Linked DNA regions of Callithrix jacchus. The protein of the gene in region 3 interacts with the protein of the main gene of each other region in a pairwise test. Links are inferred from orthologs where the notes say so. Each region holds a gene or a part of one and is shown on either strand. Other genes may lie near its edges.

Region 1 (4,339 bases), on a different chromosome or scaffold from region 3:
ATTTTTAAATACAGGTCTTAGTCTGTTGTCTAGACTGGAGTGCAATGGTGCTATCATGTCTCACTGCAGCTTTGAACTACTGGGTTCAAACGATCCTTCCACCTCAACCTCTTGAGTAGCTGAGACTACAGGTGTGCACCACTACTCCTGGCTTGTTTTATTTTTAATTTTAATTTTGTAGACACAGGGGCTGGCTACGTTGCTCAGGTTGGTCTCAAACTCCAGTGATCCTCCTGCCTCGCCCTCCCAAAGTGCTAGGATTACAGGCATGAGCCACCTCACCCACGACACATTTTTTTTTCTGTATCTGACACCAAGTGTTTGTTGTTCTGGAGAGTAGGTCAGACCCTCTGGACAGGATCTCCCTGACTGATTGGTTTCTTCGGGCTGGCCCATTCTGTCTCCAGATTTATTAATGATTCAGTGAAGTGCCTGTCGATCTTGTTGCCCTGGAAATCATGCCTTCTCTTTGAGATGACATTTCATATCCTTACTCTCCGATTCACCATTCAATCATTTACAAATATGAACACTTCTGTGTACAATAAATAGAGGATACAGTAGAGAGACGTTTCAGTGGAAGAGATACAGATATTAACATGTAAACGAGTGGAAAAAATGAGATTACTTCAGATGGTGATAAATGCTATGACGTTTCCTGCAGGGTAATGAGACTGAGTATGAGATGGAGGATGGTGTGGGGCTGTCAGAAGGGTGGGCTGGGGACGTCTGTGAGGATGGAGAATCTGAACTGAGCCCTGCATGTGAGGAACGAGCCAGTCATGGTCTTAAGAGTTTGTTCTCAGAGGAAGGAACTCTTCCACTCACACACCTTGTGAAGTGGAAGTTCATTGCTTGTCTCCAGAAAGACAATGGTATCAGTTAGGCAGGAATGGTTGCTGTGGCTAAGTACATGACGATTAAATGGTAATGTGGCCGTGTTTCCAACAAAAATTCCCAACACGTCGTCTTACAGGTAGCGTGAGGACTGGAAATATTTGAAATCAGGGTTATCTTGGACTTTCCAAGGCACGTGATTACCATAATCAACAGGCTACAGAGGGTTGGCCTGACCCCACATTGTTGGTATGGAAACTGCTCCCAGTTTCTAAAAAGCCAAATAACAGGTGAACTTCTGGAATAAAATCACTTGCCCTTTGGAATCATATTTCTTTTCCCCAACAACATTACATGTTCTTTCCTCAGCAAAAAGTCTAGATTTTACACATTTTTGAAGCCCTCGAAGCATTTAGCAGAGTCTTGGGCATACAGAAGATAGCAGGGTCCCGTGGCTCTGCCTGAAACGCGGAACCCGGTCTTGACTTTTGAGTGACTGAGCCCTCTTGGTGTCGCACTCCGGCCGGGCGTGCCAAGCGGCGGTTCTCCCTCCCGCCGCACGGGGGCGCAATGGGAAGCCCGCGTAGTGAGGAAGAGAGGCTGGAGCCGGTCTTGCACTGGGGAGGGCGCCGCTCCCAGAATGCACCTGGCATCAACACGGCGGCGGCGGTGGTTTCCAGCAGACTCCGGGGCGCCGAGCGGACTGGCACGCAGCCCGGGGACTCTGAGGCGGGGTGCAGGTGTTGAGGGGCGACTGGAGCCATGGCGGAGTCGGCGCCTGCTCGGGTAAGAGGCTCCGGCGCGCGGGCTCGAGGGCGCGTTGGGGAAGGCGGAGCCCCCTGCCCGGGGCGGAGCTTCGCGGGTTGGACGCAGCCAGGGCTTTGGTTTCCCCCGGCTGTCGCTGGCGCCGGTGAACGCGGACCCTCCTCCCCGCGACCCCAGTATTCTGCCCCTTTTTCCCCTCCGCTTCCTTTTGCGAAGGGGTCGGAGCCTCAGCGCCGTGTGCCTTTCCCCAGAAACTTCTTCGAAGCTTGTTTTATGTTGTCGGATTTGTGACCCTGGCCACACATTTTCTCTTTCGTGCCAAGAGAGAGCCCTTTCCCAGGTTGGAGCGGTGACGCAGGTTGGAAACGGTCTCCGTCGCCACGAGTGAGCTCTTCAGCTGCCCCAGAGACCCCTGGACTTGCCTCTCTGCGCCCACTCCTCGTTGGTCCGATGTATTGCCCGTTTCTCCGGTGCCACGGATTGCTGTCCTGGAGTTGAAGCCACAGGTTGAAGTCAGCCTGGGCTTCCTCTCTTTGAGGACGGGTGTTACCTACGGTGTAGTTGCTGCATTTTGTTTGTAAACCTGTCCAAACTGTCTCCTTCACTCCCTCTTCTCCCGACCTTCTCTATTCTGGGAATGTCAAGATACGGAGCTTGTCGTGGGGAGAATCCTAGCTGTGGAGTCACGAAGCGAGTTCAGCCGTAATTCAGCTCTCAGCTATCCATTTGGGTGATTTTAGGCAACTGTGTTTGCCTCTGGGTCTCTGTTTTGTTTTCCTAACTGTAAATCGGGAGTGTTAGAGTAGTTGCTAGATGATCTCTGTGGTTCCAGCTCCGACATTCTCATACCATTCCAAAGTAGTGGTTAATTTAATCACACCAGAGGGTTTGCAGCGGAAAGGGCAGCTGGGACTAAATTGATTTTTAGTGAAGTGTTCCTTGGTCTAGAAACACTTTAAGAATCGTGTTAGATCTTTGTGTGAATGGAGGGCAAAGGAGAGTCTGTGGTGAAAACTTTGCCATGACCAGGATGCACTGTATTTGATTCTTGTAGCAAGTGGGTAAAGAACTAAAAAGAGGATTGGAAGACTTAGAGAACACAGTGTTTGTTTTCAAGGAAGTTAACAGTTGAATTGGGAAGACAACACGCAAGTGTTTACAATATTTACTTCATCTGCCTCCTGTAAGCTAGGCTGAGCGAGTCAAAGACCTGGCTTTTCCACAGGTCTAGGTCATGTTAGAGTCGGGCAAGAGGACTCTGCCACAGTTCTTCCTACCAGGTCACTCCACAGTTACCTACATGTCATCAGTAGACCTTGTTAGGAAGAAGCCTTAAAGGTCCATCACAATCCCCAGCTATGCCTTAAATAATGTGAATTTGTCATTGTAGAACTTAAATTGTTCTTGAGCCTGTTTCTATTCTCAGACGTCTCTTCAGGTGAGGATTCTGTGCCTCTCGTTTGACAGGCCGAGTAGGTGCCCTGAAAAAACAAGTAAAAATGCTGGAAACCCCCCAAATAAATGCATTTGAAATGTATGTTAGTAAAGAATACTTGGACCCCAAAACTAAGTGAAAGAGGGAACTCGAAAGTGATAGAGTTCTGAAGCCAACTTTGAGGCCAAAGTTGCTGAACATTCATCTTTGGTGTTTATGACTCTAGGGACCTACAAAATACACAAATCTTTAGAGCCTAAGATGGAAAGTCTAAGAAGCTCCCTAACCCAATCCCATGAAGCAGAGACTGGAAAGGGCAACAGTCTGTATAAGGGTGAACTGAAAGTTAAGGTCTGACCTTCAGATGATTGCAAAGAAAACTGTTAAACCTTGGCAGTGAGAGATGGTTATGAGGTGCCCCTTGAGAATTCATAGTTACCCTTATGTCGGTTTGTTACTGAATTCATGCTACTTGGATGGTTCAAGGAACCTGAAGCCAAGGGTTAAAGTAGAGCCCTCAGCTCTGTATCCACAATAAACACGAATCTTTTCTGGAGGAATCTACAAGTAACTCAGGCTTCTCATAGATAATGTGAGTTCATGATAAAAAATTGCTGGCCGGGCACAGTGGCTCATGCCTGTAATTCCAGCACGTAGGGAGGCCTAGGCAAGTGGATCACTTGAGGTCAGGAGATGAGCCTGGTCAGTATGGTGAAACCCCTTCTCTACTAAAAATAGAAAAATTAGCTGGATGTGGTAGTGCACGCCTGTAATCCCAGCTACTCAGGAGGCTGAGGCAGGAGAATCTCATGAACCCAGGAGGCAAATGTTGCAGTGAGCCAAGATCATGCCACTATGCTCCAGCCTGGGTGACAGAGCAAGACTCTTGTCTCAGTAAAAATAAAATAAGTAATGGACAACTCTCAACATTTCAGTTATTAGAGTTATTGGATACAGATTATAAAATAACCATGTTTAGTATATTTAAAGATTAAAAAAAGGAGGGAAAATGTGAATAAAGGCCAAGAGACTATAAAGATGACCAAACATATTTGAAAAAGAATCAAATAGAATATCTAAGAATGGAAAATATAATTAACATTGAGAAGTCAGTAGTAAGCTTTACTTAGCATGTCAGACATGCAAAGAGAGAAATAGGCGACTGGGTGGTGGAGGTAAATAAATTATCCGGAAAGCAGCACAGAGTTCAAAAAATGGAAAAGAAGGTAAGAGATAGGGAAGAATGAATGAGAAAGTCTAATAGTCATCTAATTAAAATTCCAGAGGGAAAACACACAGTCT
Region 2 (3,617 bases), on a different chromosome or scaffold from region 3:
GCTAAGGTGAGAGAATCTCTTGAGCCTGGGAGGCTACAGTGAACTGTGATTGTGCCACTGCACTCCAGCCTGGGCAACAGAGCAAGACACTGTCTCAGAAATAAAAAATAAAAAAGTAAGCTAGGAAAAAAAAAAATAGCTGACATAAATGAAAGCCTGTATCTTTAAGAGTAGACAGAACTAACCTAATTACTGATTGTCAGATTGAAGTGACCCAAGTAGTGGTTGTAGAGTTCCTGACTGCCTCAGTCTACCAGTTATTGTCAGTTTTACTCTCCATCTTCTTTGCAGATACGTCTTTTGATTAGCTGTTTCGTCAGTAGTGATCCCCAGAGTTGCAGCCCTGGCATCCCTGCAAGATATTTGCATGACAGTTGTTAAATATAACTTCATTAGGACTAAATTAAGTTACAGTAGTTAATTCAGTTTGGAGAAAGGCAAAATGACCCATATGAAGAATGAAAAAATATGTATCTTGCTTGAGGATGTGTAGGTGGGACATGCAAGAAATCACACTTTTCCCAGCAGTGGCAAATCTTCTGGATGGATTTTGTGTCTATAGTTTCCTTGTTTTCCTGTGGGAGTTAATACCATAAATTTTGGCCATAATTGTTCCTAAGCATGTAAGCTCTGCCTATAATTTTCTTGTCCATTACTGCCAGCACTTCCTGCCCCTGTGTGGTTTAAAAGACAGTGAGGTGGCCAGGCATGGTGGCTCACGCCTGTAATCCCAGCACTTTGGGAGGCCAAGGCGGGTGAATCACCTGAGGTCAAGAGTTTGAGACCAGCCTTGCCAACGTGGTGAACCCGTCTCTACTAAAAATGTAAAAATTAGCTGGGTGTGGTGGCGGGCACCTGGAAGCCCAGCTACTTGGGAGACTGGGGCAGGAGAATTGCTTCAACCCAGGAGATTAGAGGTTGCAGTGAGCTGAGATCATGCCACTGCACTCCCGCCTGGGTGACAGAATGAGACTTCATCTCAAAAAAAAAAAGTGTGGTATGGGAGATCGGTAGTGCTCAGTGGTGGAGATGATCTCCAGTGATAACATCCCTGTGGGATAGTTGCTGTGATGCTATTATCATTATGATTTTAGTGTTTTGTATTCTTGGCTTTCCTGTTTGCTTCCTGTCATGGGTAAGTTAGTCACCTTTCATTTCCCATGACACATTTATGTCTTTTTTTTTCTCTTTAGTAATGGAACGGCGGTATCCCAAGGAAGTCCAGGACCTTTATGAAACAATGAGGCGATTTGCAAGAATTGTGGGGCCAGTGGAACATGACAAATTTATTGAAAGCCATGCATGTAGGTGGTTTTTGAGCCTTGAGCAGTATTTGTGTATTTATATAAGTAAGAGAGAGAATGATGTTTTATGTGAAGTTCTGTAAATAAATGGATATTTCTGTCTTTGTTCCCCATTATTACAATGAGACAAATTTGGGACTGTGGGAGTCGCGAAGAGAGGTTAAAAAGCCCTCATGGCTTTCCCCACCGCCCCAGATAAATAATAATTTAGTAGTTTTTCTCCCCACTTTTTATCATGGGTATTTTCAAATATATATAAAAGTAGAGATAATCATATGATGAATTCCTGTGTATCCATCATCCAGCTTCAGTAGTTTTCAACACATGGCCAGTCTGGTTGCATCTTTATCACCCACTGCCTTCCCTCCTGCCCTCAACTGGATATTCTGAAGCAAATCCCAGACGTTTTATTTTGTTTACAAATATCTTAGTACTAAAAGTAGTTTTAAAAATGAGGACAGAGATGGATAGCTTGTGGAGATAGTACTTCCATCGTTCTCTTGTCTTTCTGTGGTATTTCTGTGAGAGCACTACCCAGTTACCATTTGATTTTTCACCATAAAAAATTAAAAGTTGTTAAAATAAAAAACTAAATAAAGAAAAAAAACGAACAAAGAAAATTAAAAGTTATAAGGCTGGGTGTGGTGGCTCATACCTGTAATCCCAGCACTTTGGGAGGTTGAGGTAGGAGGATCACTTGAGCCTGGGAGTTAGAGACCAGTCTGGGCAACACAGTAAAACTCCATCTCTATAAAAATACCAAAGTTAGCTGGCATGGTGGTGCATACCTGTAGTGTCAGCTACTCTGGAGGCCGAGGTGGGAGAATCCCTTGAACCCGGGCAGCGGAGGTTGCAGTGAGCAGAGATCACGCCACTGCACTCCAGCCTGGGCAACAGAGCGAGAGCCTGTTTAAAAACAAAAAAAAATGTTGTTATGGCAGTAAGGCCTAGACTCTTAATATAGACTCTGGCTTATTCTGTACCTTTCATCATGGCATTTGTTCATGTTGCCCCTAAGTTTAGTTCTGAGAATGTACTGGTACTCTACCAAGGCCCTTATTCTCATCATAAAATATTTCTTACGTAGCATTGCAGACATTTATCTGAGCCAGGTTGGTTGTCCTCATCAATCACCTTGGTTGGTTGGCATTCTTTGTGTGACTTGTACCAGGTGACTGATCCTTTACTTCCTGTCCCAGTTTGGGACACACCCCTGGTTTATGTGTCAATCCAAATAACTACACTCCATGGATTGTCCAGGCTCTTCCTTCATTCTTTTAAGCAGCCAAATTTGAATGTTCTATTATTTAATAACCCAAAGAGTACAACCTGATCTGTGTGCTCAGAGGAGGCAAAAATCTTTGGTTTATGGAAAACACAATGCTCTTATGTTCTAATAGGGAAAAAGCTGTAAAGAAATTTACTGGGGCTTGCACACAGAGCTCTTGTCCTTCCCTTGTATCAGGGCCACATCAAGTAATATCAGACAGATTTCATAAAAGAACTTGGTCATGTGGGTAGAACTTTTAACAGAAGATAGAGCAGGCAAATTTGGTTGTTAAAAAAATTATATGTATTACTTTTGTAGACAAACGAATTCAGCCGTTTCACTAAGGTTTCTAGAAGACAGTTACTGCTGCTACCTCTGGAGACCGCAGCTGGAAGACAGCTGGAGTAGGTTTTCCTCAGCTCTTGGGTAAAATTTCTAATGAAAAGTTACCAACAATAGGATTCTTCAAATGAACTTGCCTAGTCTTTTATAATAGGCAGAATTACTGAAAATGCTCAATAGCAAAAGTGCTCACTGATGTTTCTTTTGTTTCTCTAATTTTTTTTCCTTCATTCTTTTTGGGTAAAACAGTGGAGTTTGAACTCCGAAGGGAAATCAAGAGGCTCCAAGAATATAGGACAGCAGGCATTACCAATTTTTGTAGTAAGTATGCTTCAGCTACCTACCGTACCTGAGGGGAAGTCTCTTCCTAACACACGGAAGAAGTACCTGAGTTGTGCATTTAAAAAAAAAAAACTTTCTGGCCAGTTGTGGTGGCTCACGCCTGTAATCCCAGCACTCTGGGAGGCTGAGGTGGCGGATCACGAGGTCAGGAGTTTGAGACCTGCCTGGCCAATATGGTGAAACTCCCATCTCTACTAAAAATACAACAATTAGCTGGGCACGGTGGCAGGCACCTGTAATCTCAGCTACTCATGAGGCTGAGGCAGGAGAATCGTTTGAACCTGGGAGGCGGAGGTTGCAGTGAGCTGAGCCCCTGTCATTGCACTCCAGCCTGGCAACAGAGTGAGACTCCATCTCAA
Region 3 (4,301 bases):
CATAAGGTCTTCCACTGCTTGGATGCACAGACTTTATTTTATTTATTTCATATTTTGACAGAGTCTCGCTCTGTCATCCAGCTGGGAGTACAATGGCGCGATCTCGGCTCACTGCAACCTCCACCTCCCAGGTTCAAGTGATTCTCCTGCTTCAGCCTCTCGAGTAGCTGGGACTACAGTCACGCACCACGCCCGGCTAATTTTTTTGTATTTTTAGTAGAGACGTGGTTTCACTGTGTTAGTCAGGCTGGTCTTGATCTCCTGACCTCATTGGATGCACAGTATTTTATTTAACATATCCTCTACCGATAGGTTCCTTCTACACATCAATTTCTTTTTCTTTTCTTTCTTTCTTTTTTTTTTTGAGACTGAGTCTTGCTGTGTCACACAGGCTGGAGTGCAGTGGTACAATCTCAGCTCACTGCAACCTCTGCTTCCTGGGTTCAAGCGATTCTCCCGCTTCAGTCTACCAAGTAGGTGGGACTACAGGCACCTGCCACCATGCCCGGTTAATTTTTTTTTTTTTTTTTAGTAGAGACGGGGTTCCACCATGTTGACCAGACCGCAAGTGAGCCGCTGGCCTTGGCCTCCCAAAGTGCTGAGATTACAGGCGTGAACCACCGCGCCCGGCCTCACTTGAGAATTTCTTTTAAAACACCACCATTGGTGGCTCCGGCCTGTAATCCCAGCACTTTGGGAGGCCAAGGCGGTTGGATCACAAGGTCAGGAGATCGAGACCATCCTGGCCAACATAGCGAAACCCTGTCTCTACTAAAATACAAAAAAAATTAGCTGGGTGTGGTGGCGCACGCCTATCGTCCCAGCTACTCGGGAGACTGAGGCAGGAGAAGTGCTTGAACCCGGGAGGCAGAGGTTGCAGTGAACCAAGATCGCGCCGCTGCACTCCAACTTGGCGACAGAGCAAGACTCCGTTTCAAAAAAAAAAAAAAACCCACCAGCAAAACCCCACTATTCCCATTTCACTGAGAAAGACACTGAGGTCCAGAGAAGGAGCAAACGTTCTGATAATTCATGCTGAAAACTGCGCCCTCAAATTCCGGTTTCCCAGCTCCCATCCGGACTCCAACTGCTCGCACAGTCCACACAGGGTACCTGTCCGCCCAGCCGGCACCCGCAAGCCCCGGGAAGCCCGCCGCTGAACCTCAAGTTCTTGGATTTTCCTATGCCACCTGGAGGAATCTGCAAACCTCTTGGCGTCCGTCCACCACACCTCCGACCAGCAGGTGGCACTGTTGCCATCTCGATAACATAGACTCGTCCTCCTTGTGGTGCTCATGTTTTCCTAAGTCCCTGGACACTTCCGGCACTGGAGGAACTTTGGTGCGGCCGGATGCGCAACGTGGGGACTCAGGCGCGCAAGGCGGCACGGGTTGTTTCCGCCTTGTAGGTGGTCTGTATTGAGAGTCCGCGGCGAAGGGAAGATGGAGACGATACTGGAGCAACAGCGGCGCTATCATGAGGAGAAAGAACGGCTCATGGACGTCATGGCCAAAGAGATGCTCACTAAGAAGTCCACGGTAAGTTGGGTCTGGTCAGGGGCTGCGTGTGAGGCTGGGCCTCTATCCCGTGTTTGACCTCTGAGAGCTTGCTTTGGGCCTCAGTCTCCCCACGCTCCGCCCCCGTCTCCTCCGGAGCTCCGTCTCCGAGCTCCGGTCTTGGTAACCTCCTCCCGGAGTCCAGTGCCCCAAAGGCCTTTCCGCCTCAGCTGCTAAAACCTGAGCCGGTGAGCTCCGCCCTCGGGCGGCCTTTTCTACTCCGGAACGTAAACTAACGGCGTTTGTGTCACCGTTTGTTTTTTCAGCTCCGGGACCAGATCAATTCTGATCACCGCACTCGGGCCATGCAAGATGTGAGTGCGCTGCTGTCTGCCTCTTTTTGGGTCGGCGAGGGCGGGAAAAGAGAGGGGAAGTGAAGTGCTTGTCTCAGCATGAGCCCTGGCCAAAGGTAACCGGATTGGCCAGTCGAGGGCTCTCTGTCTGGGCAGTCCACCGGCTGCCGAACGTGAGGGTGCTTCCTCACTTCTCTGAATGGGGAACTCTTACGCATTCTTAATTACTCGGGAAGATGCCCATTCTTTTAGTTTCTTTTCTTTTTTTTTTTTTTTTTTTGAGACGGAGTCTCGCTGTTGTTACCCATACTGGAGTGCAATGGCACGATCTCGGCTCACCGCAACTTCTGCCTCCTGGGTTCAAGCAATTCTCCTGCCTCAGCCTCCCGAGTAGCTGGGACTACGGGTGCGCGCCACCATCCCCAGCTAATTTTTGTATTTTTAGTAGAGACGGGGTTTCACCTTGTTGACCAGGATGGTCTCGATCTCTTGACCTCGTGATCCACCCGCCTCGGCCTCCTAAAGTGCTGGTATTAAAGGCGTGAGCCACGGCGCCCGGCTCTTTTCTTTTCTTTTTTGAGACCGAGTTTTGCTCTTGTTGCCCAGACTGGAGTGCGGTGGCGTGATCTGGGCTCACTGCAACCTCCACTTTCCGGGTTCAAGCGATTCTCCTGTCTCAGCCTACCGAATAGGGGGATTACAGGCGGCTGCCGCTACACCTGGCTAATTTTTTGTGTTTTTGTAGGATGGGTTTCACCATGTTGACCAGGATGATGTCGAACTCCTGACCTCGTGATCCACCCACCCCAGCCTCCCAAAGTACTGGGATTACAGACATGAGCCACCGCGCCCTGCCTACAAGTGCACATTCTTTTTTTTTTTTTTTTTTTTTTTTTTTAATATTTTTGAGACGGAGTTTCACTGTTATTACCCAGGCTGGAGTGCAATGGCGTGATCTCGGCTCACCGCAACCTCCGCCTCCTGGGTTCAAGCAATTCTCCTACCTCAGCCTCCCGAGTAGCTGGGACTACAGGCTGCGCCACCATGCCCAGCTAAGTTTTGTATTTTTAGTAGAGACGGGGTTTCTCATGTTGACCAGGATAGTCTCGATCTCTTGACCTAGTGATTCACCCACCTCGCCCTCCCAAAGTGCTGGGATTATAGGCGTGAGCTACCGCGCCTGGCCCAAGTGCACATTCTTACAGCATCCCGTATCCCTTGGATGTGCAAACAATAGTTATGAGGAATCTATGACACAAGTGCACAGCTACAATCCTTCTCTTAAAAAAAAAACATATATTAGTGTTTTTCTGTCAGGATACTGTTTTAAAGTTTTTTGGACTACTAAACTGCATTTGCCTTGTAATTGCTCAATTTATTACTTTAAAAAAAGATGTTATATAAATTATAAAAATTGGGTGATGAGTAAATGGAAGTTATGCTACCTTCCTTACTCTTAACGTATGTTTGAAACCTGTTTAAAAAGGAATAAAAGACCTACTTGGATCTTCTGATTTACAGGAGAGAATCAGATTACAAGCCCTCAGCCCCAAAATACTCTGAAAACTAAGGATTTTTTTTCCCTTGGGTGATTATTTGATGTCAAAATCTGACTTGACCTCACTTGGTAGTAAAACCTGGCCTGAACCTGGGATAGGCTTTTTATAGTCTTTTATTTATCCCACTTAGTAGATAAGGCATAAGGTTTACTGCAGAACTGTGTGCTTCAGATTCCACTAGGGATGTTACATAATATATGATACCTTTTCTGAACTTAAAAAATTCCAAATTCTGAAACAAACCTGGTCCCCAAAGTTTTGGAGGCATGACTACATACCTGTACCATCCTGAATTAATATACTTTGACTCCAAAGGAAGCCTATGTAATGTTTATTTAGCCTGCCTGCTCCTCAGTCAAGCTTTTTGAAATGGTGAATATCATTATCTTTGAGGATTTTAGGTGGGAACTGTGTTTAGCCAATGAGGATGAATCTGTTACAGACAGAGTTAGGCATTGGTGGTATGTAAAGATAGGAGCCACCTCTTAAATGATATCATTTTGGTAATCTTCCAGTCAACCTATTTAAAAAACTAACCTGGAATCAGGGCTGTGTGTTAAAAGGTACTAGGAAGTACAGGAACTGTTAAGACCATATCCATGTCTCTTGAGGTTGCCCTTGGGCTTTGACTGGAGAGCCCTTGTTGTTTGCTTAGCTCTACAGTTGTGCAAATTGTGTCGTTCTGATGGTTTTGTATTTGCCTTTCAGAGGTATATGGAGGTCAGTGGGAACCTGAGGGATTTGTATGATGATAAGGATGGGTAAGTGACAGTCACAGCTAATCTAAGAATTGGTGTTTCTGAGGAACCCTAGTTAGAGGACTGACTTTGTGCTCTATCTTCTTTGAATTTTTCCTGAAATTGCAGATTACGAAAGGAGGAGCTCAATGCCAT

The links.
Region 1: the proteins of SF3A3 (region 3) and ZNF212 interact in binary tests that used the Homo sapiens proteins (3 or more experiments, as listed by UniProt). The two-hybrid records come from large-scale screens. The link is inferred for Callithrix jacchus from reciprocal best matches to the Homo sapiens genes SF3A3 and ZNF212.
Region 2: the proteins of SF3A3 (region 3) and TADA2A interact in binary tests that used the Homo sapiens proteins (3 or more experiments, as listed by UniProt). The two-hybrid records come from large-scale screens. The link is inferred for Callithrix jacchus from reciprocal best matches to the Homo sapiens genes SF3A3 and TADA2A.

Annotation. Positions count from the first base shown.
Region 1 is NC_133512.1:98,505,934-98,510,272, reverse strand, and holds the start of ZNF212 (zinc finger protein 212), read left to right. Parts: upstream 1-1,474; 5' UTR 1,475-1,477; coding exon 1,478-1,623; intron 1,624-4,339.
Region 2 is NC_133506.1:97,709,614-97,713,230, forward strand, and holds part of TADA2A (transcriptional adapter 2-alpha), read left to right. Parts: intron 1-1,193; coding exon 1,194-1,304; intron 1,305-3,165; coding exon 3,166-3,237; intron 3,238-3,617. UniProt on the Homo sapiens protein: Component of the ATAC complex, a complex with histone acetyltransferase activity on histones H3 and H4. Required for the function of some acidic activation domains, which activate transcription from a distant site. Binds double-stranded DNA.
Region 3 is NC_133508.1:74,563,322-74,567,622, reverse strand, and holds the start of SF3A3 (splicing factor 3A subunit 3), read left to right. Parts: upstream 1-1,386; 5' UTR 1,387-1,442; coding exon 1,443-1,538; intron 1,539-1,822; coding exon 1,823-1,870; intron 1,871-2,594; exon of another isoform or gene 2,595-4,116; coding exon 4,117-4,169; intron 4,170-4,274; coding exon 4,275-4,301. UniProt on the Homo sapiens protein: Component of the 17S U2 SnRNP complex of the spliceosome, a large ribonucleoprotein complex that removes introns from transcribed pre-mRNAs.